Saccharomyces cerevisiae S288C: one gene and its partners. The gene in region 1 interacts genetically with each later gene. Each region holds a gene or a part of one and is shown in the gene's direction. Other genes may lie near its edges.

Region 1 (4,980 bases):
TTTTCGGTGTTGGTTTCTTTTTTTCCTTTCGGTGCAAAACTGTGGAGGAAGATGGCAATAAATTAGTGAAACGGTAATGCCGTGTGGACTGCATATGCCGGATATAGCATTTATCAGTCACGACAGAGCTGATTATCCTTACTTGGGTGAAGTTGAAGTTGTTGTGATAAGGTTAGAATGCAAATGAAGCTTTGTCAGCGCTGAGAAAGAAAATTTTGTTTTGTGAGCCACTACTATCACGTGCCATTACCATTTTAATCAGTTATGAAATAGGGGAATGTGTCATTGAGGGAAAATGTAATGGCCACCAAATGAATCAGAGGGTCGGATGAGAACACACCCTTACTAACTGCTGTTCATATCTCACAGTTGCCATTGATAAGCTCTGGTGGGAAAATACCCTTGATTTTTGGTAGCACATATTGACATAACAAAAGTCTTGACTTTGCCAATTGGAGAGATGGCCACTTATAGAGGAAAATACTCGTAAAAATAATCATAAACAGTAAGCCATGTCAGTATCTTACAAGGGAACAATTTCTAAGACACATTCTGTTTTTAAACCAGAAAAAGGAAGGTATTATATTTACGGGGCCCTTGGGTGTCCATTCACTCATAGAGCCATTCTTGCCAGGTCTTTGAAGAAATTAGAACCTGTTCTAGGGCTTGTGTTATCTCACTGGCAATTAGACTCCAAGGGTGCCCGTTTCTTACCTGCTCCACACCGGCCGGAAAAATATAAAGAGAGATTCTTTACTGCCACTGGTGGCATTGCTTCAGCTAAATTAGACGAATCTGAGGAGTTAGGTGATGTGAACAATGACTCTGCAAGGTTGTTCGTGGATGGCGCTTTCGACCCGGTGGAAAATATATCAAGGTTAAGCGAGTTGTACTACTTAAATGATCCTAAGTACCCCGGTACAAAGTTCACTGTGCCTGTTCTGTGGGATTCTAAAACAAGGAAAATTGTTAACAATGAGAGTGGCGATATCATAAGAATTTTGAACAGTGGCGTGTTTGATGAATTTATCCAAAGCGAAGAAACGAACGTGATTGATCTAGTTCCGCATGATTTAATAGACGAGATTGATAAGAACATCAAATGGGTTCATCCGAAGATTAATCTTGGTGTCTATAAAGTCGGATTAGCAGAAAACGGAAAGATTTACGAAACTGAAGTAAAAACACTGTTTGAAAACTTGCAGAAGATGGAATGTGTACTAAAAGAAAATTATAAGCGCTTAGAGGAGCAATTCAGTGGTAACAAACAGAAAATCTTGGCTAAATATTTTGTTTTAGGACAGAGGTTAACTGAAGCGGATATCAGATTGTATCCATCAATAATTAGATTTGACGTCGTGTACGTGCAGCACTTCAAATGCAATTTGAAAACTATAAGGGATGGTTTCCCGTACCTTCATTTGTGGTTGATTAATCTATACTGGAATTACGCAGAGTTTAGATTTACTACAGATTTTAATCATATTAAGCTCTTTTACATCAGGATGGAAGTAAGTAGGAACAAGATCAATCAGTTTGGTATAGTGCCATTAGGCCCAAAGCCTGACATTTCTAGATTATGAAAACTTCTAATATTTTCTTACACACACATATATTTATATGCATGGCTATACTTCAAAAGAGGTTGTCACTTCCATTTCCATGTAGGTAAAACTCGTGTATAGACGGAACACAGACTTCCCTAGTTTTATTGACTTCATAGTCTCTGCACCATTCAATTATGTCTCTGTAAAAGAGACTCTTCTTTATATCGCCCTTTTCTATATTCTCCATCTCCAGTTCTTTGAAGCATTTTGCTTTTCTCGATTTATGACAACCACACGGTTTTACACTCTCCTCTCCATGTTCTACCATTTCATGCCTCCAGTCAAAAAATGGTTGACTGTATTCCCTACTTGAATCCATACTTGATTCAACAAGGTAGTTTCTCGAATTCTCAGGTAGTACTGCCACCCTCCTTAAACGTTTCTCTCTTTGTCTTGCTTCCTTTCTTTGTTCTATTTTTGGCGGAATGGTAAATTTCACAGGATTCTTGGATCCATTCTCATTTTCATTCAAGGCATTTAAGTCCAAGGAAAATAACCGTATGCTCACGTTGGACCCTTCAAACGTGAAACTATCTTCACTCAATATACTTCCTACACCGCATTGTTCCTCGTTACTACTTGAATCCTGTATATCTGAGAGAGAGGTAAAAAATGAGTAGGTATCTCTTTCCCCCTCACATTCGTAAGTGCCGACTTCTTTATTCAAACAGGCCTTTCCCATTTCTCAAAGACCTCTTTTCGTAACCTATTTAGTAATGATGAAAAGTATTAAACAGTATTTTCAAGATAAGAATTTTATTATTTTGTACCATTTACGATACACATAAACCCCAGAAAAAAACAACTTTATGGGAAAAGGCGAATAGTACTCATAATATACAAGGTAAAAGCAGGCGTATCTCAGTCATACAGTTCAATAGAGAAAGGCATTTTTGGAATATCATACATTTTATCTAGCAAGTGGAAACAGACTGTATATTCCCAAGAATCATCGCCTTTTTATCACAACGTCAGCCTCACAACTAATTCGCGTCAAAGCGCATTCATCCTCGACATTCTCAAACGCGAAATATCGTCGAAAAAGGTTAAAAAGAAAAGAGAGAAGGACAGAAAAAGAAAAAAGTAAAGTAGAGCTCGATCTCGAAAAAAAGAACCATTGCGTTCGTTCTTAACTACGCCAAGAAGTTTTTGAAATTTCATCCTCTCCACTGAACAATAATACTATTATTTAGTAACGATATAGAACATTTACATACAACGTTCTAATATTTTGGCTTCTATCATCGCTTAGAAATATTTGGCTAGGAAACATTAGGACTAATGAGAGACTATAAATTAGTAGTATTGGGTGCTGGTGGTGTCGGTAAATCCTGCTTAACCGTGCAGTTTGTACAGGGAGTTTATTTGGATACGTATGATCCAACGATCGAAGATTCTTACAGGAAAACCATCGAGATCGATAACAAGGTATTCGACCTGGAAATTTTAGATACAGCGGGTATAGCACAATTTACTGCAATGAGAGAATTATACATAAAGTCAGGAATGGGGTTCCTGTTGGTATATTCAGTAACAGATCGGCAATCTTTGGAAGAATTAATGGAGCTAAGAGAACAGGTCCTTAGGATCAAAGATTCCGATCGCGTTCCAATGGTTCTAATAGGTAACAAGGCTGATCTAATCAATGAAAGGGTAATAAGTGTGGAAGAAGGTATAGAGGTAAGCAGTAAATGGGGTAGAGTTCCCTTTTATGAAACAAGCGCTTTGTTGAGGAGCAATGTGGATGAAGTGTTCGTTGATTTAGTTAGGCAAATCATTCGGAATGAAATGGAAAGTGTTGCAGTTAAAGACGCAAGAAATCAAAGTCAACAATTTAGCAAAATCGAGTCTCCATCAACCAGGCTCCCTAGTTCTGCGAAACAGGATACGAAACAATCAAACAATAAGCAATCATCAAAAGGTTTATATAACAAATCTTCACAAGGACAAGCTAAAGTTAAACAATCTACTCCGGTTAATGAAAAGCACAAACCGTCACATGCCGTTCCGAAATCTGGTTCTAGCAACAGGACAGGAATTAGCGCTACTTCACAACAAAAGAAAAAGAAGAAAAACGCTTCCACTTGCACTATTCTATAGTCACTTAATTTTATTATAAATGAATCAAGATATCAGATAAAAAGACTTTACTTGAAATAGTTTTATTATAGTTCTAAAAGGTTTAGTTTAAAGTATTAGCATACGTTGTATAAGTTTTTAAAGAAATCAATTAATAATGTTTGAAAATAAATTTAAACCCAAAAAAAATGAAATGTTAAAAATATGGACGCAACCGGAATCGAACCGATGACCTCTTCCTTGCAAGGGAAGCGCGCTACCAACTGCGCCATGTGCCCGCAATCTATGGGATTTTACGGTAGATGCTGCGTTACGTATAAAAAATATTAAATGAACAGATCCACACTCTCGTAACTAAAGCTCACACTGTAGTTTCTTATAGTTTATGTTGATTGATATAATTAATTCAGAGGGTCTTTAGTCTCAGATATACTTCGCAATTACTTAAAAGAGTAATCGTTAATGTTTTCCCTCCAACATAGTCGTTATCGTTTAGCGTGCGTTATCAAGTTTCAACGATGACAAAATGATTGATTAATTAGTCCATTTTTCTTTCCTATCTAGTAAAATCAAAGTGTTTCTTCTCAACCTGAGATCTAACTCACTGTATTGATATTGAAAATCTGAGTAGTCTTCTAAAAAGCACAGAAATTAGGCCGATGTTTTCGACTTCATATCTCGTCGTGAGGCTGTTTCGCACGCCTTTTATTTGTTTAGATCGGACATTTAGGGTGATTCATATCAGGTCATATTGCGGCATCTCATCTCAAGAATAAAATAGAATTACTGTGTTTGACAATGGTCTATCGTCCACTGATGGAACAAAAGTCGGGAGCAATTCTTGTAAATGGAAGAATACAAAATGGCCACCAGTAGCGGTGAAAATGGTTTAGTAGTCATCCCTCCTTTAATACGAAACATTCAGTGGGTCTCCGTGAACGTCTCTATTCTATTTTCGATAATCGATCCACTGACTCTCAGGCGCTTCTTATATTATCTTTCTCGATATTATAAATCAGCCGATACAGGGTTACACCAAGTGTCTTTACATAATCCTGACTATCATGACCTACTTCCAATCTTATCATCTAAATGACTGTACATTCGTTCTTCTCTCATAATGCTTGCTTGCTTGTGAAAAATGGGTGAATAATTGCATTATTGTTGGGATTCCACTGTTGATAAAGATCACATATAACATTATGGATAAGGAATATACTAGAAACTCTCCTCCAGAACATAGCGCCCACAAAAGGGAATCGATATCTCTACATAATGCTATTATTTTTTCTTC
Region 2 (5,533 bases), on another chromosome or scaffold:
GATTACAACTGTACGGAAATAGATAAAGGTACGTATAAGATTAAGAAACAGCCACGAAAGAAACAACAGTAAATTCCAAAAAAAAAAAAAAAAAAAAAAAGAAGAAAACACAGAAGGGGGAGTAAAAATAAGTATACCGCTGCTATTGCATATATTCGAGCATTTCATTCATGTATTTATTAATATGACCAGATAATAAAGAATATTCAATCTCAATTTCTTTAACTTCAACTTCGAAATCTTTTTGTAATTGTTTAATTTCATCATTTAATTTATTGATTTTACCACTGATCAGTTCCTCTTGAATGAAAATGTCCGTTTTGTCAATCTTAGGTTTGATTTCATTTTCATATTTGATTTGTAGATCCATCAATTTAGTATCATTTAGGCGCGACTCTTCTTTAGTATCTTGCGATAGCTTTTCCAAATTCTTGAGTTGCAAATCTAACTGTTCTTGTAAGATTTCTAATTTATACATAATACCTGTTTCCAATACATTCATCAATTTCAGCTTATTGTTGATTAAATTTTGCTTTAATCCCACAAGTTCCGTTTCAGTTCGATTAGACTCTTGCACCTCGCTGGAAATTATTCTCAGCACATCATAGAGCTCACTAATTATGGTTTCGAACGTCGTCACTGTATCTTGCAAGTTTTTCTGTTGTGCGGTTAAGTCGTCTAACGTCTTTTTCCTTTGTATCAACAGATCATTTAGCTCTTTGATTCCCTCGGATAACTCTTCCATGTCTGTATTGGATATTTTGATCAGTTTATCTCGATTGGACTCTAATTCCACTATTTGGAAACTCAGAGCTTCCAGATCTTTAAAGATTGACTGCTTGGAGATCTTATAGTCATTATAATCTATGGATAACGTTTCTTGGATCTTGGTCAATTTCTTCAACTGAATTTCCAGCTCCTTATTTTGCTCTTCCAGCTTTTGGAGCTCTTGCTCATCAGGTATATTATCCCCATCTACGTCCTCGTATTGCTTTAGCTGTTGCTGAATCAAGTTATAATCATCGAATTTGGAGCGAAGCTGACCCAGCAACGATTCCATTTGAAGAATAAAAGAATTACAGTCGAACATTCGTTCCTCCCTAAAACGAGCGTAATTCACCACAGCACTCAGTAAGCGCTGTGTCCGTTGGGCTTCGGGCTTGTACAAATCTGTCATATTGAAATCTTGAACACCTATGTTCTCAAAGAACTTAAAGCAGATTTTGTTCAATACCAAAACATTTAACGTGTCCAAATAAATGTTCTCGTTCTCTTCCTGTAAGTGACCATCCCCTGTTTCTTGGTTACTACTATTCAGCAACGACTCTACAGAAATACCCATGAAGTTCTCGATGATTTGTTTGTAAAGGGTTACCATGTAGTCTGAGGTGGGCCTAGAGATATTTTCCTGTGTGGCTAGCGCAAAATCACAGCTTTGCAAACATATAACTAGTTCCTGTAGATCCAAAATGGGGAACACATCTTGATTCCTACTCATTTTGCTCAAGGGATGCTGGAGCCTTTCTCCTCAGTACATGCTTTTTACCAGTATTTTTTCATAATATTGTTTATTTTAATTGTTATTGTTTGTTACATGTCCCGATTCGGAAAAGCGATCTTTTGATCAAATGGCTGGCACCATCAAGAAGAGAAAGAACGCTGATATATTCGACTAACAAGAAGACCATTATCAAAACCAGATAGGTGTATAAGTATGTCAGAAGAGAGGGAAGAAAACGGGATATCTAGGGCTACGCTGAATACGCAGCGACTTTCAGCAATGATCGATTCACTGAACAATGAGAAAGATGACAGGCTCTTTCCATCTCCCACAACTACCAGGACAATGATCACAGAGGAAAAGGCGGATCAAAGTGATGTCTTTAAACCACCATCGAGATTGTTGAGATCACCTGCTGGTGACGTTTCGCTGCCACCTGGTGATAACAGATCAAGTATGATTTCCAACTACTCTGGAATTATTCAAGAAGGCGTTGAAGTATCATATGTGGTCAAAAACCGGCAACAGACCCAAGAACGGCGCACAAGTAAGGATTCCAATAGTTTGTACTCCTTGAAAGAGCCCGTGAGCAAGAACGAGTTACCGTCGTTGCCCATGTTGCCTTCAGAAGCGACATTGACAAAACATCTAAGTGATAACCAAAGCACAAAATCGAATACCAATGCAGACGAAATTGTCATTAAACCAGTTACTAATGCCAAACCTGTGGGAAGGTTTAACTCTAACACTTCAAAAAAAGTAGAGGGTCGTGGCTCACTGAAACTGTTATCTAGTCCTCTACGTCAGGAAAAAGTTATGCGTTCCTCTATAGGATCAGGTAATTTGGCCAGCGAGAGCGGATCTTCCACTTATAATACCAAATTCCATCAATCTATTCAAGAGCAGCTCGAAGAAGAAGAGGAAGGAAATGTTAGCGATAAGCTTTCAATTGTTTCCAGTGTCATACCCGAGTTGTATACAACCACCAACGAAGCACCCAAAGCGATAAACCCAATACGTTCTGAAACCAATGACTACAATCCAACTATTCCGCCCAGAAGTAAGGACCGTCCTAGGTCAAGGTTGTTCATCGAAGAAGGTGATGGCGAGGGGGATCTTTTAACCGAAGAAATATTACCAACGCCGGTCCAACCTGGTGGCCACTATAAGAACTCATCTCAGATTTCCACAGTTAGTGAACAAAAATCGGAATCTTACTATTCTGCGGCAACGAGTATGCCTCCAGAGGAAGAGACTTACTTGACAAGACCATTGCCCAGCACACCCAATGAGGATAGCAGAGTTACATCGAATTTGAAACGTGACGACACATTGAAGGCTATTCATGATAGGGCAAATCATACCTCTACTTCGACAAACAAACAAGATGATGACATGTACGAGGACATCATTGAGGAAACGCCCAAGAAAACTAAACTCAAGAAGGATACGAAAAAAAAGCTCAATAAAAAAAAATCTGTGAAGGAATTGCGATCCTTTGATATCGACACACTAAATCAACTGTTGAGTGTGACAAAGGGAACCTTAATCGGGTCTGAATTTGCGCAACTGGGGATGAAAATTGAGGAGAAACGTGCCCTGGAGAGACTAGTAGACTCTTTGTCCAGGTTAACAGCAGACATGGTTCTTGATCCGGACCGCTATGAAGAAGGACTGAAAAGATTAGACAAAGCTACAAAGGCTCTTGAAGGGTTTTGATGGTGCAACAACAATAATAATAGTAATAGTAACAGTGGTAGTAACAATAACAATAACAATATCAATATCAATATCAATAATATATTATAATACTAATAATGAATAATAATAATAGCAATAAGTATAGTATAGTATAGTGGTAATATATAAGTTTCTTTCTCTTCCGGTTTATTTACAAGTCATATACAAATAAAAAAAAGTGATAGTAATTCAATGGCTTGTATTCATTGATACTTGGACAAGTCCGGCATACTTAAAATTTCCTTCTCTTTATTTTCACTGAATTCTTGTAGCTGCTTCAGCAATTTAGAATTGGCCCACTTGTCAGGCAAGGGGCTGGTTTTGAAATTTTTTGTGGCCCAATAGTATATGTCCCAGTCCAACTCATTCAATAGCGAATCGTATTCTTCCAGTTCCTCTTCGTTCATCTTCTTCAAATATTTGGCAGCGAACCCAGATAGCAGCAAGTCCGTCTCCAAGATCCCTCTTTTGCGTGATTGATATATCAACCGAGCTCTTTTCTTATCCAATGGCTCGTTAGTTCTCTTTATGGGGGCAATTTTAATCCTCGTCACCACATCGTCGTGGTCATCTTTATCACTACTAAACCACCTACGACCGCACGACCATGCAGCGGACCCTGTTTGAGAGTTGATAATCTTGTAGCCTTGCAACGACAGTGTCTTTGTGAGTGCTGGAAACATATTGTGCATTTATGTGCTCCTTTTTAAAGTGTACTCCCTTTTTTCCTCCTGTTCTTTTTTTACAAATTTCGCCTTTCTTATATATCCTAAATATACTTAAAATCTAGTCTCTTATGAAATCTGTAAGAAACAGCATAATGTCGCTCCTTCTCTTCTATTTCCTATATATATCTACATATCACCAAAGAACGTGAGAATGGGCAGGAAACATCTTGGTGATTCGTTCATTAACCGGCGGAACAATCTCTTGTATCATTGTAGTCTTTTTCACTACACACAGTTGTAACTGTGGGAAACAGTTTGCGCGTAAAAGTCCCAAGTTAATCAGTGTCACAAGTACGTTTTCGACGTTCTTGGGGGAGTGAATGCCATTATAAATGGTAATTTCCTGGGCGCCGGGATCCTCGAATGTCGGACCAATAGATAGCTGTAGTACCCGTTCTATCAAGGAGTACGGTAATTTGTTCTGACCCCATTCGGTGGTCCAGGACTTTATTACCGTTTTAATCAGATTTCTGTACGTTACCATGGGCAGTTTCTCTAGGAGCACGATCAGTAACTGTCTTGCACACAAATGACGCTCGTTTTGTCTCAGCCAGAGACTCACGCCTTGAATATTCCCATAACGTACGTGTTTGTAGAGAACACTCCAATTATCAATTGTTTCTTGGGAAAGGAACGGTCGCAACGGTCCCCATTTGACCATCTTTCCCAGTATCAGCCCTGTAGGGATCATGTAATTTAGTATTCTGGTGCCATTCCTAGTGATCGCTTGGTTCGTTAACGGCAAGTTCAATAAGGACTGGAAAGCTTCATTGAATTGAACGAAGGCATTATGTACTTGAGAGTTCAACAAGTAGTACCTTCCTAATAGATATCTGTATTCTATTTGCTGGTCGAGCTGGTATTCGTTGAAATGTGCAAGCATGCTTTTTGGCTGAAAGTTCTTAAAGATATTGGAACATAATTGCGGTGACTCGATCCTGAAGTAGATGTTATTTAGTTTATTGACCAGGTAGAGCAGTATTCGTTGTTTTCCAGGTATATTTGTAGAAGATGCGTTACCTCGTGGAGGTTTGATGCTGTTAAATAGTCTTGATAGGATGGACGATATATGTGATAGAAATTGGTGACTTCTCGTATGCAGTTGCAAGTGGAAAGAGTCTAGTTTCCCAGCGAGATTGATGATAAATTCTGTTTCTCTAGTTGCTACTGGTATCAACATTTCTATGTGAGGAGCATTGTCGTTGATGAGACAGTTGATTAAACATTGATAAAACTCAAAAATTAGATCCGAACTGGACCAGGCTGACCATGGGTCGACATCTCGGGCATAATTTAAAAAGGATGTACACATGATTTTGAATCTCGTATCATTGGGCATAGCCGGGTGTTGTTCTACAAACGTTTCTAGCTGTTTATCATCAAATCCGGTCAATTGCTTCTGTAAGATAGCAATTTCCCTACCATTTTGGGACAAGTTTAGCGTTAGGTGGGAAAAATTTCCATGTGCTAATTCATCTAGCAACTGGTTGGCCATGTCCATTGCTATCTATCCTTTTATCCCTGCCCTGTTTCTTACTTTGAATGCCATTGATGTGAAGATGGT
Region 3 (6,821 bases), on another chromosome or scaffold:
TTTATATGTCCCTAATTATGCAAGAAAAGCTAATATGAATACAAAAAAAGGCATGTGGGTGAATTACAAACTGCAGACTGTTTGAAAACAACCTTTTCAATGCATCCAGATTTTGTTGAAAGTATTTTTTTATGGACCCTGAGGACCGGATAGTAAGACAACAGGTGATTAACCTCCAGATGGTCCTTTCTCCTACTATTGTCCTATCTGATGACACCTCAATATCTCACCAAGTAAGCGACTTCAGAACACTCCAGATGGAATTTATGTGCCTTAATTATACGTAAAACATTGTCCGTTCTCTTCAGTTATAATTACTGCTGATTCAGGGGCGGCAGCTGATATATCTCGAGTCACCTTCAAAAATCAAACCTGCTATTGGGACCCGTACTTCCATTTGGATTTACCAACTTGATTCTTCTATCAGAGACGAAGGCCCTTATAAACCTTGAACCTGAGCTTAAAATTTACATATTACTTTCTTGTAATCATTAAGTATGAATTTGCAAGGCGTTTACATGAAAAGAGGTCGGCATAGTACATATGGAAATTTACTGGTATGCAATCCATTATGTGTTATCATATCTTTTTTACATAACAGGCACTTCTGAAATTCCCCCTCTTGTATGCCCCTATTTACTCCTTTTTAAATTCTTCGGATTATTATTTAGATCGTGATTCTCTCTACTCAAACATTTCCTTGAACTTGTATAACGGGGAAATAAATCTGAAAAGCAATACATTTGCGCACTGTTAAAACTGGAAAGGAAGAATGACAACCAGCATACTCGATACTTATCCTCAAATATGCTCCCCCAATGCTTTGCCAGGTACTCCCGGCAATTTGACTAAGGAGCAAGAGGAAGCGCTTTTGCAATTTAGGTCAATCTTGTTAGAAAAGAATTACAAAGAAAGGCTGGATGATTCTACGCTATTGCGATTTCTACGGGCAAGGAAATTTGATATCAATGCTAGCGTTGAGATGTTTGTAGAAACTGAACGATGGAGGGAAGAATACGGTGCCAACACTATTATCGAGGATTATGAAAACAACAAGGAAGCCGAAGACAAAGAAAGAATCAAATTGGCCAAAATGTACCCTCAGTATTACCATCACGTTGATAAGGATGGGAGACCATTGTACTTCGAAGAACTAGGAGGAATTAACTTAAAGAAAATGTACAAGATCACTACCGAAAAACAGATGCTAAGAAACTTAGTCAAGGAGTACGAATTATTTGCCACGTACCGGGTCCCAGCGTGTTCGAGAAGAGCTGGCTACCTTATTGAAACTTCGTGCACTGTGCTGGACTTGAAGGGTATCTCACTTTCTAATGCTTATCATGTGCTTTCCTATATTAAAGATGTTGCAGATATCAGTCAAAATTATTATCCTGAAAGAATGGGTAAGTTTTATATTATACACAGTCCATTTGGTTTCTCGACGATGTTCAAGATGGTTAAACCCTTCTTGGATCCAGTAACCGTGTCAAAAATCTTTATTCTTGGCTCTTCTTATAAAAAGGAATTATTAAAACAAATTCCAATCGAGAACTTGCCTGTTAAATATGGTGGTACATCTGTCTTGCACAACCCTAATGATAAGTTCTACTATTCCGATATTGGTCCCTGGAGAGACCCTAGATACATCGGACCAGAAGGTGAAATTCCCAACATTTTTGGTAAATTTACTGTTACCAGCTAACTATGATACAGGCCTTCGTCGTAGCTTTCCGTGAATATAGCATGCATACTCTATAATATGTATATCTCTGTATCTAATAATAATTAATGACTTTCATTCTTGAACGCGTTCTGTTCGATAAAAAAGAAAGGTATCCAAACAAACGCCATTTATGAAAACGGAGGAAGAAACAACAAAATAGTAGGAATAACTACTCGGTCAGACTGAAAACTTTATCCGTGCATACGTCGTGGTGTTTATCTTTGATTGTATCATATTATGAGCTCCAACAATGAACCGGCCCAAAGTCGAACATCATATTTCAAATTGAATGAATTTTTGTCCAACGTTAAGCATTACAAGAATACCTTTAAGGGTGAGATTCAGTGGTGTAATAACCTGTCCTTAAACGACTGGAAGACACACTATCTGCAAATTACCAGTACAGGTGCACTAACCCACTCAATCGATGAGTTAACAGCAGACTCTACTAATATTCAGCCAATTATCAAACATCTACAGCAATGTAGAATCGAGATTATTAAGGATAAGCATTCCTCTTTTAAGGATATTAATGCAAATTGTAATTTTATAATCCAAGTAAACACCTCAGGTAAAGATAATAAAGTTTACCTGCGAGTTAAAAGTTGGAGTGATTTCAAGAAATTGCTAACATGTCTGATCTGGTGGAGCTCAATGAAGACAAATGGTATATTTAATAAGTTTCAAGTATCGCGACCTCTAGAATTTAAAAGCAAAAAAATGGCGAAACCAGAAAGTTTGCTGGTTTACAAATTGAATGTTTTTGGGCCCATCGTTAAGAACATCGTCCTTCCGCCAGCAACAAATATTTTAGAAAGCCCTGATATAATTAATAATGATGACAACAGCGTAGGTTGGTTTTCCGCTATGGGGGTGCTTAAATCAAACGGCATGCTAGATCTTCTTTTACAGAGTGACGGCTCTCTGATTTACTCATTGAATATTAGCCAGCTTTTAAGATCAGAGATAAGAATTCTGGATTCATCTGTTTTACAAAGTGAAAACAGTTTGTTTTTAGGTGAATTGCCATTACTAAGGAGCCAGTTGGGCCTCGAAAAGTTTCGCATAGAAAATATTGCCAGTGCTGCCACCAACTCTAGTGATATTTCTCAAGAAATTATTGTAGAGTTTCCCTTAAGAATAGACCTGGAGGATTGTTTTATAGCGTTACAATCGTTCGCTAGGTCGGAATACTTATCTATTACTGGCTCAGATAAATCAAATGATATGAAGATATCGAATAGCTTTAAAATTTCCATACTGGAAGCTAATTTTCAGTCAATCAATTTAAATGACAAGAATAATACGCCATGGTCAATATTCACAGACATAACGGCCTGGGGCCATACATGGGCTAGAACATCCATGGTTTCAAACTCCTCTAATCCATTTTGGAGAGAAGAGTTTCAGTTCAATGAACTTTTAAGACTTACTAATTCTTATCTGGAAATCAAGCAGTTATTCCACGATCTCAATAATAAAAAACGGTTACGATTGATAGGCAAAATAAAAATCACACAAGAAATAATAAATGATACAAGATATAATAAGGAAACAAGACTACCCATCATGGACGTTGATAACAAAAATTTTCAAATAGGAACAATCTGTATTAAAATTTCTTCAAATTTGAACTTCATTTTACCGTCAACCAATTTCGTTAAATTGGAAAAACTTTTGATGAACGCAAACTTGTCCATGGTTTCCAATCTAATTTACAAATCTTCTTCATCAATGGAGAATGATAACAAATTGACGCAAACATCCATAATTTTTCTCGATATATTCCAATCTTTGTCAAGAATAGAAGAATGGTTCCACGTCCTTATAGACAAAGAATTGGCTAAAATTGATGGAACGGTTTCAAGAATAAACCAGAAAAATTTAGACTCAAAGCATGTTTTCAACAGTTTATTCCGTGGTAACTCTATCTTAACAAAGTCGATTGAACAGTACTTTTTCAGAGTGGGTAATGAATATTTGAGTAAAGCGCTTAGTGCAATACTAAAAGAGATCATTGAGTCAAACAAATCATGTGAATTGGATCCTGCTAGAGTAAAAGAAAAAGATGAAGTAAAAAAGAGGAAAATAATTGCCGACAACTACAAACGATTGTATTCTTGGGTTACGAAGATTTGGAAAAGGCTGTATGCAACGAGTAATGACCTGCCGATTGAAATAAGAAATGTTTTAAAAATCTTTAGGCAAAAACTAGAGATAATTTGTATCGATGACACTTTGCAAATAATTTTGAATGGTATATCAGGATTATTGTTTTTAAGGTTTTTTTGTCCAGTCATATTAAACCCTAAGCTATTCAAATATGTTTCTCAAAATTTAAACGAAACAGCAAGAAGGAATCTTACCCTAATAAGTAAAGTTTTACTTAATCTGTCCACTTTGACGCAGTTTGCAAACAAAGAGCCCTGGCTAATGAAGATGAATAACTTTATCGATAAAAGACACAATGACTTATTAGATTACATTGATAAAATGACGCAAAAGAAACTAGATTTTAATTCAAAGATATTGAACCTAAGTTCTACTATTTCGAGACCCAAATTGGCCATTGAACAAACGATGTTGGATGATTTGCCTCAGATTCCTTATCTGCTTGATAAGAATTTGAGAGAAACTGAGTTTGTTAACTTGATTGTTAATTTCAGTCAGGAAGATATGACCAAGATGGAAAAATACAATCACATGGATAATGGTGGGAAGGGAGAATTAATCGAAGAGGAGGGCCTGTTAAGCGGTAGCAGCCTAAATTTGTCTGTGGATAAAAAAGATTTGGATTCACCAATTGAGGTTAAGCCAGAAATTGGAGAGTTAGAATTTGAGAAAATAACTGAAAACAACACGGAGATCTTCGGAGATGATTTAATGAACCTACTGAAAAGCGATGATGTAGGTTCCAGAAGCAGAGATTTGGATAATGGCGCTAATTCAGGCATCAAATTTAATTCTATAATCCCGAAAGCAGAAGAGGAAAAGCATGCAATGAAAGAATTGGAGCAAGAGTCATGTTTACTCTATAATAGGATTAATCATATTAGAAAACGGTTGTCAGGTTATGAATGTGCTTCCAGCACTTTGTTTGAAGACAAAAAATACTCCATTTCACTCTCACATAAAATTTTTTATGAAGAAATAAAGGAGGGAAAAGAAATTGTTCTTAAACTACTAAATAAACCAACAAATGAAAACTCTTCCGCAAGATTGCAGAAATTCTTCACAAAAGGTGTCTCTAGTAAATCCAATAACACAGTTGGAGATAGTTACTGTAAATTTTTGACTATTGATGTAAGTGATGAGAATCCCAAGAGTAGCAACAAAACATCGGTACATGGAACATCATCGGAAAATGGAGCCAAGGATGATTACTTGACGCTTCCAAACTCGCAAGGTAAAGGTAACTTGGGGAATAGATTTTCCCCGACAAAGTTATCTAGGATAATGAGGAAACCTCCTAACGCAGATGTTCCTAAAGAACAAAATTCCCGTAAGCTGACAAGATGGTTCAAAAAGAAAAAAGAAACAGGGGGATCTTAATCGTAGAAAAAAATGTTCACTTCATATTCTTTCCTTTGAAAGTTTTTTTTTTTTTACTTCTTTATTCACTACTTGTAACAGTATATAGCGGGTTGTACTATCAGCAGAAAAAAGTAATTCATAATTTTTCAGAAAGATTTCTCATAATATAGTATATAAAAAAATGCTTCGAGAGGAGATGATAGACAGCGATAAGTATATGGAAATTTGGAAACCAAACAGGAGATACAAATGGGTATATATTATATTTAATAAAAACGAACAGATGGCGATCCAGAATGTGGAAATAAATAACAAAGTTGAACATCATACGGTTATTCCAAGGTGGCGAGAATGTTAGCCTGCAAAGGAACTTGCTAGTGACATCTCAATGAAAGATTTTTTCCTCCCAGCACCAAAGTTTGGTTTCGAAGACTGTTGCTGTTGTACTGGCTGCCTTGGTTGGTGGAATTGATTTGTATTTGTACCTAAAGGGAAATTTAGTGATGAGGAAGTGTTCGAATGTGATAATGATGAGGAGGTGTCCCCTGTATCGTTCGGACAACACGATGATATTTCACGGGGCCGATTATTTGAAAACCTTTCAATACTTTCTTCTGGGTCAGCAGTCAAAGTATCCAACCCAGGTGAAACGTACTTTTCCAAGCCATACAAATGTGTTGGTATGGCAATGGCAGAAGACCTTGATCTTGACCTGGGTAGAGAAAACGACCTTGAGTTGCAATGTTGAAGTGAGTTACTAGAGAATTCTGAATTGGGTGTTTCACTTTTCAGTAATACGTTGTTTTTCTTTTTAGTACACGCACCGCTAAAGAGCTCTGGTATAGACTGTCTGGAGGAGCTTGAGCTCCTTCCGTTCACTAAAAGGCCATTTATATTGGTATTACATTTTTTTAGCGGGTTCCTCATTGTGGTATTGTTCGATGAAGATGAAGTAAAGTACGACGTTGTTTTGGCCTTTCTCAAGCTAGGCATGCCTCCATATTTGGAGTCGACAGGGTCATGGACAGTAGAAGCTATGGAATTTGTATCAGAATTTGCCTCAGATACTGAGCCGTTTCTCGATGGAGCTAATTCTGACTCCGCTGGGAGTGCTTCATCTATTTTACACAGTGGATTCAGTGTCTGTTGACATTTAGCATTACACGGAGATGAATCAGGCTGAAAATTGAAGCTACTAAGCTTTGCTCTCAGTTCTTCATCTGCATCTTCTGTGTCACAGGCCTCACAACATGGGTCCTGAACAGCCCTTTCGAAAAAGTTCAAACAGTCTATATCGTCGATTGGACCCCGAGAATATTCATCGTTCATATCTCCTGCAGAAAGTGGTTTGTCTGTTGTTTTTTCCATCCTCATGTTGGGTAAATGTAATAATTCTTCTTACTTAGCACACACACCTGTTCTTTTACTCGAGTTCAGAACACATTAATCGATAACAAACGCAACAGTTAAAATGAGAATTGAACAAGAAACTTCTAAGGGTGGAATGGAGAAAAAAAAACCTCTGTATTTAGCGCCATTCGCACCAATAATACATTTTCAT
Region 4 (4,842 bases), on another chromosome or scaffold:
TCTTCTTGTAAAGCCATCTTTCTCAATTTTGATAAATGCTCGGATAATATACTCTCATTATAGTACGCTGAATGGGGCAAAAAATCCAATATGACATTATCGAATTGAAACTTTACAAACTGTGCACTGAGATCATTGTTTAAAAACTTCTTCTCTACCGTGCTATTGGCCAATTCCAGAGAACAATATCTCCTAGGTAAAGTATCTCTCGGCACAACTAAAATGCACATTGGTTGGATTTTATGAAAAATCCAAAGAATTCTAAAAATTTGGTCAGTTAAATCATTCATTTTCGTTTCTAATTTGTTCCTCTGTGTTTCTGCAAATTTCATTAAGGTAGTATCTGTTGTTTCGCCATTTTTACTCTCTTCTTCGGTTTTTGCTAGGGAGCTTTCTACCACCATAACTAAAAAGTGCTCTTCTTTATGGTGTTGTAATTCAAATGCAGCAACCTCAAAAACTGTATTTACTGTCCTCACAACTGTTTCAGTAATCTGTTGTAGATAGTGGGATTCAACAACTCTTTTGTATCCCGAAGATGTTTCGCCACTTAAACTCGAAATATCAATAGCCTTAGTGCTTTCTGCTCCAGTGTTACCTTTAGGTTGAGCAGATTGATTCCCTTTTTTGGCATAAAGAAGGTTTGATGTGTGAGCCCAGTTAGGTAATCTGATTAATCTATTCTGTAAAAACATATCTTCTATGAGTGAAAGCACGTATATCTTTCCGTTATGAACAAACCCCATAAGCTTGGTTCTCATAAAGTAGGTATTTGCAGGACAAATATTCAGAATGGTATCCAATTGTTCAGTAACTGCTTGCGATTTTTCGTTAGTAGGCATTTCATACTTTGCCCAAGAAAACATTTCGGAGTAATTTAGTTTTGCTTTGAACACAAATTCGTTCACTTTATCCATCTGGTAAAATTCGTCGGTGATGTGGTTAGAAGAGATCCATATTTCTCCAACAGTGAGGTCTTGCACCAACGTATTCGTATCTGGATTAACCACACATAAAGTGATATCAGGAATTGGGAAGCCAAATGTTTCTAATTTAAGATAATCTTTGAAGGAGCTTGATGAATTAATCATAGCAGTTATGCTACATTCAACCTCATTAAGCTTCAATTTCTCGCGGTTTATAAACAATTCATTTTGAAGCCTTAGTTTTGAATTATGTATTGGAAAGTTCTCTAGGTTTCCTAATTGATCTCTTATAGATATAAAGATACCACCAAAGTCCAATAACGTTAACATGGGAGAATAACAAAATGGTGCATCAATACATCCTAAATTTTTCAGCCATTTATGAACAACCATCTCGCTTACATCGGTATCTATAGTGGTACATGAGGTTAAACATGACTTGATGCAACTGAAATCTATTTTGTGCTTCTTGGAAAAAGCTGATTCGGGATTTTCCAAATAATTAATAACTACCTGCTTCAATTGTAGCTGATCATTCAGTAAAATGTCGGCTCTAAATTTATCAATGATATTTTCATAGCCCCCAGGTCGTTGTAATATACTACTATCGATAGATATCATAAGATTACCAGTAAAAAGATTGAAAAGCACACCCATTATCAAACCAGTAGATCTAGTAGGGTCCAGACTATTCAAGATAACAAACCTTGAGTTGGTTGCCATAATTTTTTTGTGAAATGGCTTCCTGATGCTTTGTGATTTTTGTTTCCAGTGAGGCATTGATCGTGAGTTTAGAATTTTTGTCATCGTTTCAAATTGGTTTATTAAGATGTTATGCTTCATGACGACGCCAGAAAGACGACCTAGCGGTGTTCTAGTAAACTCTATATATGAAATATTCGGTATATCAAAGGTAGGCGAAGTTTTTTTTGCCTTTGTGTACGTCCCTAAGTCATCAGTCTTGACAAATTTGATTTGCTGGAAAACATCGTTCTTAACCAGTTTAACTTTTGAATGATTTGATGACGAATACAAGTTATCTAATTGTCTATGACATGCGTTAGAAATCAGAACAAATTTCGAATTTGTTACTTTAATTATCTCAAGGATCTCACGCAGAGAATACGTTTCGAATGAGACTGGTACAGCTGCCATGCCGGATATGAAACAGCCTAATAATGCAATAGTAAATTCGATGACATCATTTTTATTGTACCATAGTAAAATCTTATCCATTTTGTAAAGGTGACTCTTATTCAATTCATGTGCTACCCTCTCCGCTTTCAAATAAAGTTTATCCCATGTGATGAACGTTTCTTTGCCTTTAGAATTTATGCTGATCATCGCTGTTTGACCATCATAATGTTCAAAGCGTCCCCGTAAAATTAGCGGTAAAGAATCCGTCATTGCTGAGTCTCCACTGCTAGTATTTTCGGCTCCAGTGTGTCTTGGTAGTAATGGTATCATAGGATTATAAACGGCATCCTTCACTGAACCGTTTTCATCACTGGAACCTGGCAATGACGATTGCAAAGAAGCTGTATATCTCTTGCTCCGCCTTCTGGGAGTATTGTTCGCAGAAGTCGAGTTTATAGTTGTGACACGATAGATAGAATGACGTCTGTCAATTGAATTAGGTAACGACGTAATGGATGATGCAAGACTTGTATTTCTTCTGTGCAAATGTTTCGACTTTCTCGAATTGGGAGATCGAAGCGGGGTATAAGGCCTCATTTGGGAGATTTCAAATTTGTCTAGCAATTGTTTTCTTTTGGTCTCATAACCCTTTCTTGTTAGATTTTCATCCTTATAGTCTTGAATTAACTCATTTAACCGACTTTGCAGATCTAGAGGTAAGGTAGGAGGAATAGAAAAATCCATTGGAGTAACTCAATGCCACACGCTTTTACACAGAACTGAATCACCCTAACACCAAGTTTACGGAAGCAAATGTTAAATCTGTTGAAGCTCTTTTGACTACATTATAAACAGAAATAAAACATACTAGAAAGTAATCGGGTTTTGACGATTTCATCCATTACCCGTCCGAATGATGGCACTTATAAGATAATGAAGATGTACGCAGCATTAAAACCCTATTTGCAGAAGCATAGTAAGACGCAACGTACGCTGAATTAGACTGAGACATTACAGTTGCTTTGACATTGGGAAGATAATTGGGATTTAGAACGGAAAAAAGGAAAAGACAAGCTAATTGTAGAGATGGGCAATTCAATTTCGAAGGTTCTGGGAAAACTATTTGGCTCGAAAGAAATGAAAATTTTGATGCTAGGCCTGGATAAGGCTGGTAAGACAACAATATTGTACAAACTAAAATTAAATAAAATAAAGACGTCTACTCCCACTGTCGGTTTTAACGTGGAAACCGTTACTTATAAAAACGTAAAATTCAACATGTGGGATGTAGGAGGACAACAAAGATTGAGACCTCTCTGGAGACATTATTTTCCAGCCACCACCGCACTTATCTTTGTGATAGATTCTAGTGCTAGAAACCGTATGGAAGAGGCCAAAGAAGAGTTATATAGTATCATAGGTGAGAAAGAGATGGAGAATGTAGTACTGCTGGTATGGGCAAACAAACAAGATTTGAAAGATGCAATGAAACCTCAAGAGGTTTCCGATTTTTTAGAACTGGAGAAAAATTTGAAAAACCAACCTTGGTGTGTCATCGGTAGTAACGCCTTATCCGGACAGGGTCTTGTTGAAGGATTATCCTGGATTTCGAACAACACAAACGTTCCAAAGAAATAAACATTGCATTTATTGGTGTTGAATCTGCATACACCGATTGTTCATCCTTCATTTTTACTGGATTGTACTTTACTAAAAAGAAAACTTCTGGAAAAAAAACAGTATCCAAATAACTAAATAGCTTTAATAATACAATATAAAAAATGGAGACACTGTTGTGAAAAGTCAACCTTTACTACGGTTTCTGTCTTTGCCTTTGATCTGCTCACTTTTCGGTAACTTCAACACTACCGTCAGAATTACCGAAGTAGGCTTTTGAAGCGTTGTCGATGAATAAACCTGTTTCCACCACGCCCACTAACAGTTTGATTTCTCTATGCAATTTTCTTGGATCGGAAATTTCACCGAAATCCGCATCGATAATGAAGTTATTATTGTCAGTTACAACAGGACCTGCTTTAGCAGAACCTCCTTGTCTGATGTCAACTTTTTCAGCATGCAATTGTTCTAATAGATCATTCTTGACCCTCACGTATGAGGAAGGTACAATTTCAATGGGAACACCTTGCCTCCAGTTCTTACCTAAATGTTTTGGTGACTTTTTTCTTGAATCAGCAACGACAATGAAGGTTTTAGCACTAGTACTAACCAATTTTTCTTGAAATAGACAAGCACCACCACCTTTAATTAATTGTAAATTCTCATCCACTTCATCAGCACCGTCAAACGCTATATCAATGCGAGGATACTGTTCAATGGAGCCTAATTGCAACTTGTTATCCAAAATCAAGTTTCTTGATTGGAATCCTGTTGGAATGCAAATGAATTTAGACGCTACTTCATAAAATTTAGGGTCATGCAAATATTGTCCAATTCTTTCGGCAACATAAACCACTGTGCTACCACTACCAATTCCAATAATTTTGTGATCATCAAATTTTAAATTTTCATCAACTGCTCTGTATGCTGCAGCTCTCTTGGCATCCTCCAAAGGATTGCCCAAAGATTCTAACGCATCAATTTTTGGGACACCGGCAGCCATTTCTTTCCTATGTTGTATTTATATGAGGTTGCAGTATGCGGTAACCAAGTTTATGTAACACGATGTTGTTAATTTTCTACAAGAGAAAAGAACGTCCCAGTACAAAGAGAATAAATTGCATGTAATAAATTGAAACAGTTTCACACTGCAACGCAAGCC

What was found.
Region 2: of RSR1 (region 1) and NBA1, a mutation in one rescues a mutant of the other (synthetic rescue), as found in Saccharomyces cerevisiae (one study listed by BioGRID).
Region 3: of RSR1 (region 1) and BUD2, changing one suppresses a phenotype caused by changing the other (phenotypic suppression), as found in Saccharomyces cerevisiae (one study listed by BioGRID).
Region 4: of RSR1 (region 1) and ARF3, changing one suppresses a phenotype caused by changing the other (phenotypic suppression), as found in Saccharomyces cerevisiae (one study listed by BioGRID).

The regions. Positions count from the first base shown.
Region 1 is NC_001139.9:793,401-798,380, reverse strand, and holds RSR1 (Ras family GTPase RSR1), read left to right. Parts: upstream 1-2,888; coding exon 2,889-3,707; downstream 3,708-4,980. Other genes in the region: GTO1 (omega-class glutathione transferase), read left to right, coding at 513-1,583; YGR153W (uncharacterized protein), read right to left, coding at 1,636-2,289. UniProt on the Saccharomyces cerevisiae protein: Ras-related protein which binds GDP/GTP and possesses intrinsic GTPase activity. Involved in development of cell polarity during the cell division cycle, and essential for bud emergence.
Region 2 is NC_001147.6:194,907-200,439, reverse strand, and holds NBA1 (Nba1p), read left to right. Parts: upstream 1-1,714; coding exon 1,715-3,220; downstream 3,221-5,533. Other genes in the region: histone deacetylase HST1, read left to right, coding at 1-72; kinetochore-associated Ndc80 complex subunit NUF2, read right to left, coding at 143-1,498; succinate dehydrogenase assembly factor SDH5, read right to left, coding at 3,445-3,933; THP1 (Thp1p), read right to left, coding at 4,103-5,470.
Region 3 is NC_001143.9:264,602-271,422, reverse strand, and holds BUD2 (GTPase-activating protein BUD2), read left to right. Parts: upstream 1-1,963; coding exon 1,964-5,278; downstream 5,279-6,821. Other genes in the region: YKL091C (phosphatidylinositol/phosphatidylcholine-binding protein), read left to right, coding at 773-1,705; MBR1 (Mbr1p), read right to left, coding at 5,615-6,634. UniProt on the Saccharomyces cerevisiae protein: Stimulates the GTPase activity of BUD1/RSR1. Participates in the regulation of bud-site selection.
Region 4 is NC_001147.6:499,646-504,487, forward strand, and holds ARF3 (Arf family GTPase ARF3), read left to right. Parts: upstream 1-3,149; coding exon 3,150-3,701; downstream 3,702-4,842. Other genes in the region: CMR2 (Cmr2p), read right to left, coding at 1-2,807; ribose-5-phosphate isomerase RKI1, read right to left, coding at 3,907-4,683. UniProt on the Saccharomyces cerevisiae protein: GTP-binding protein involved in protein trafficking; may modulate vesicle budding and uncoating within the Golgi apparatus.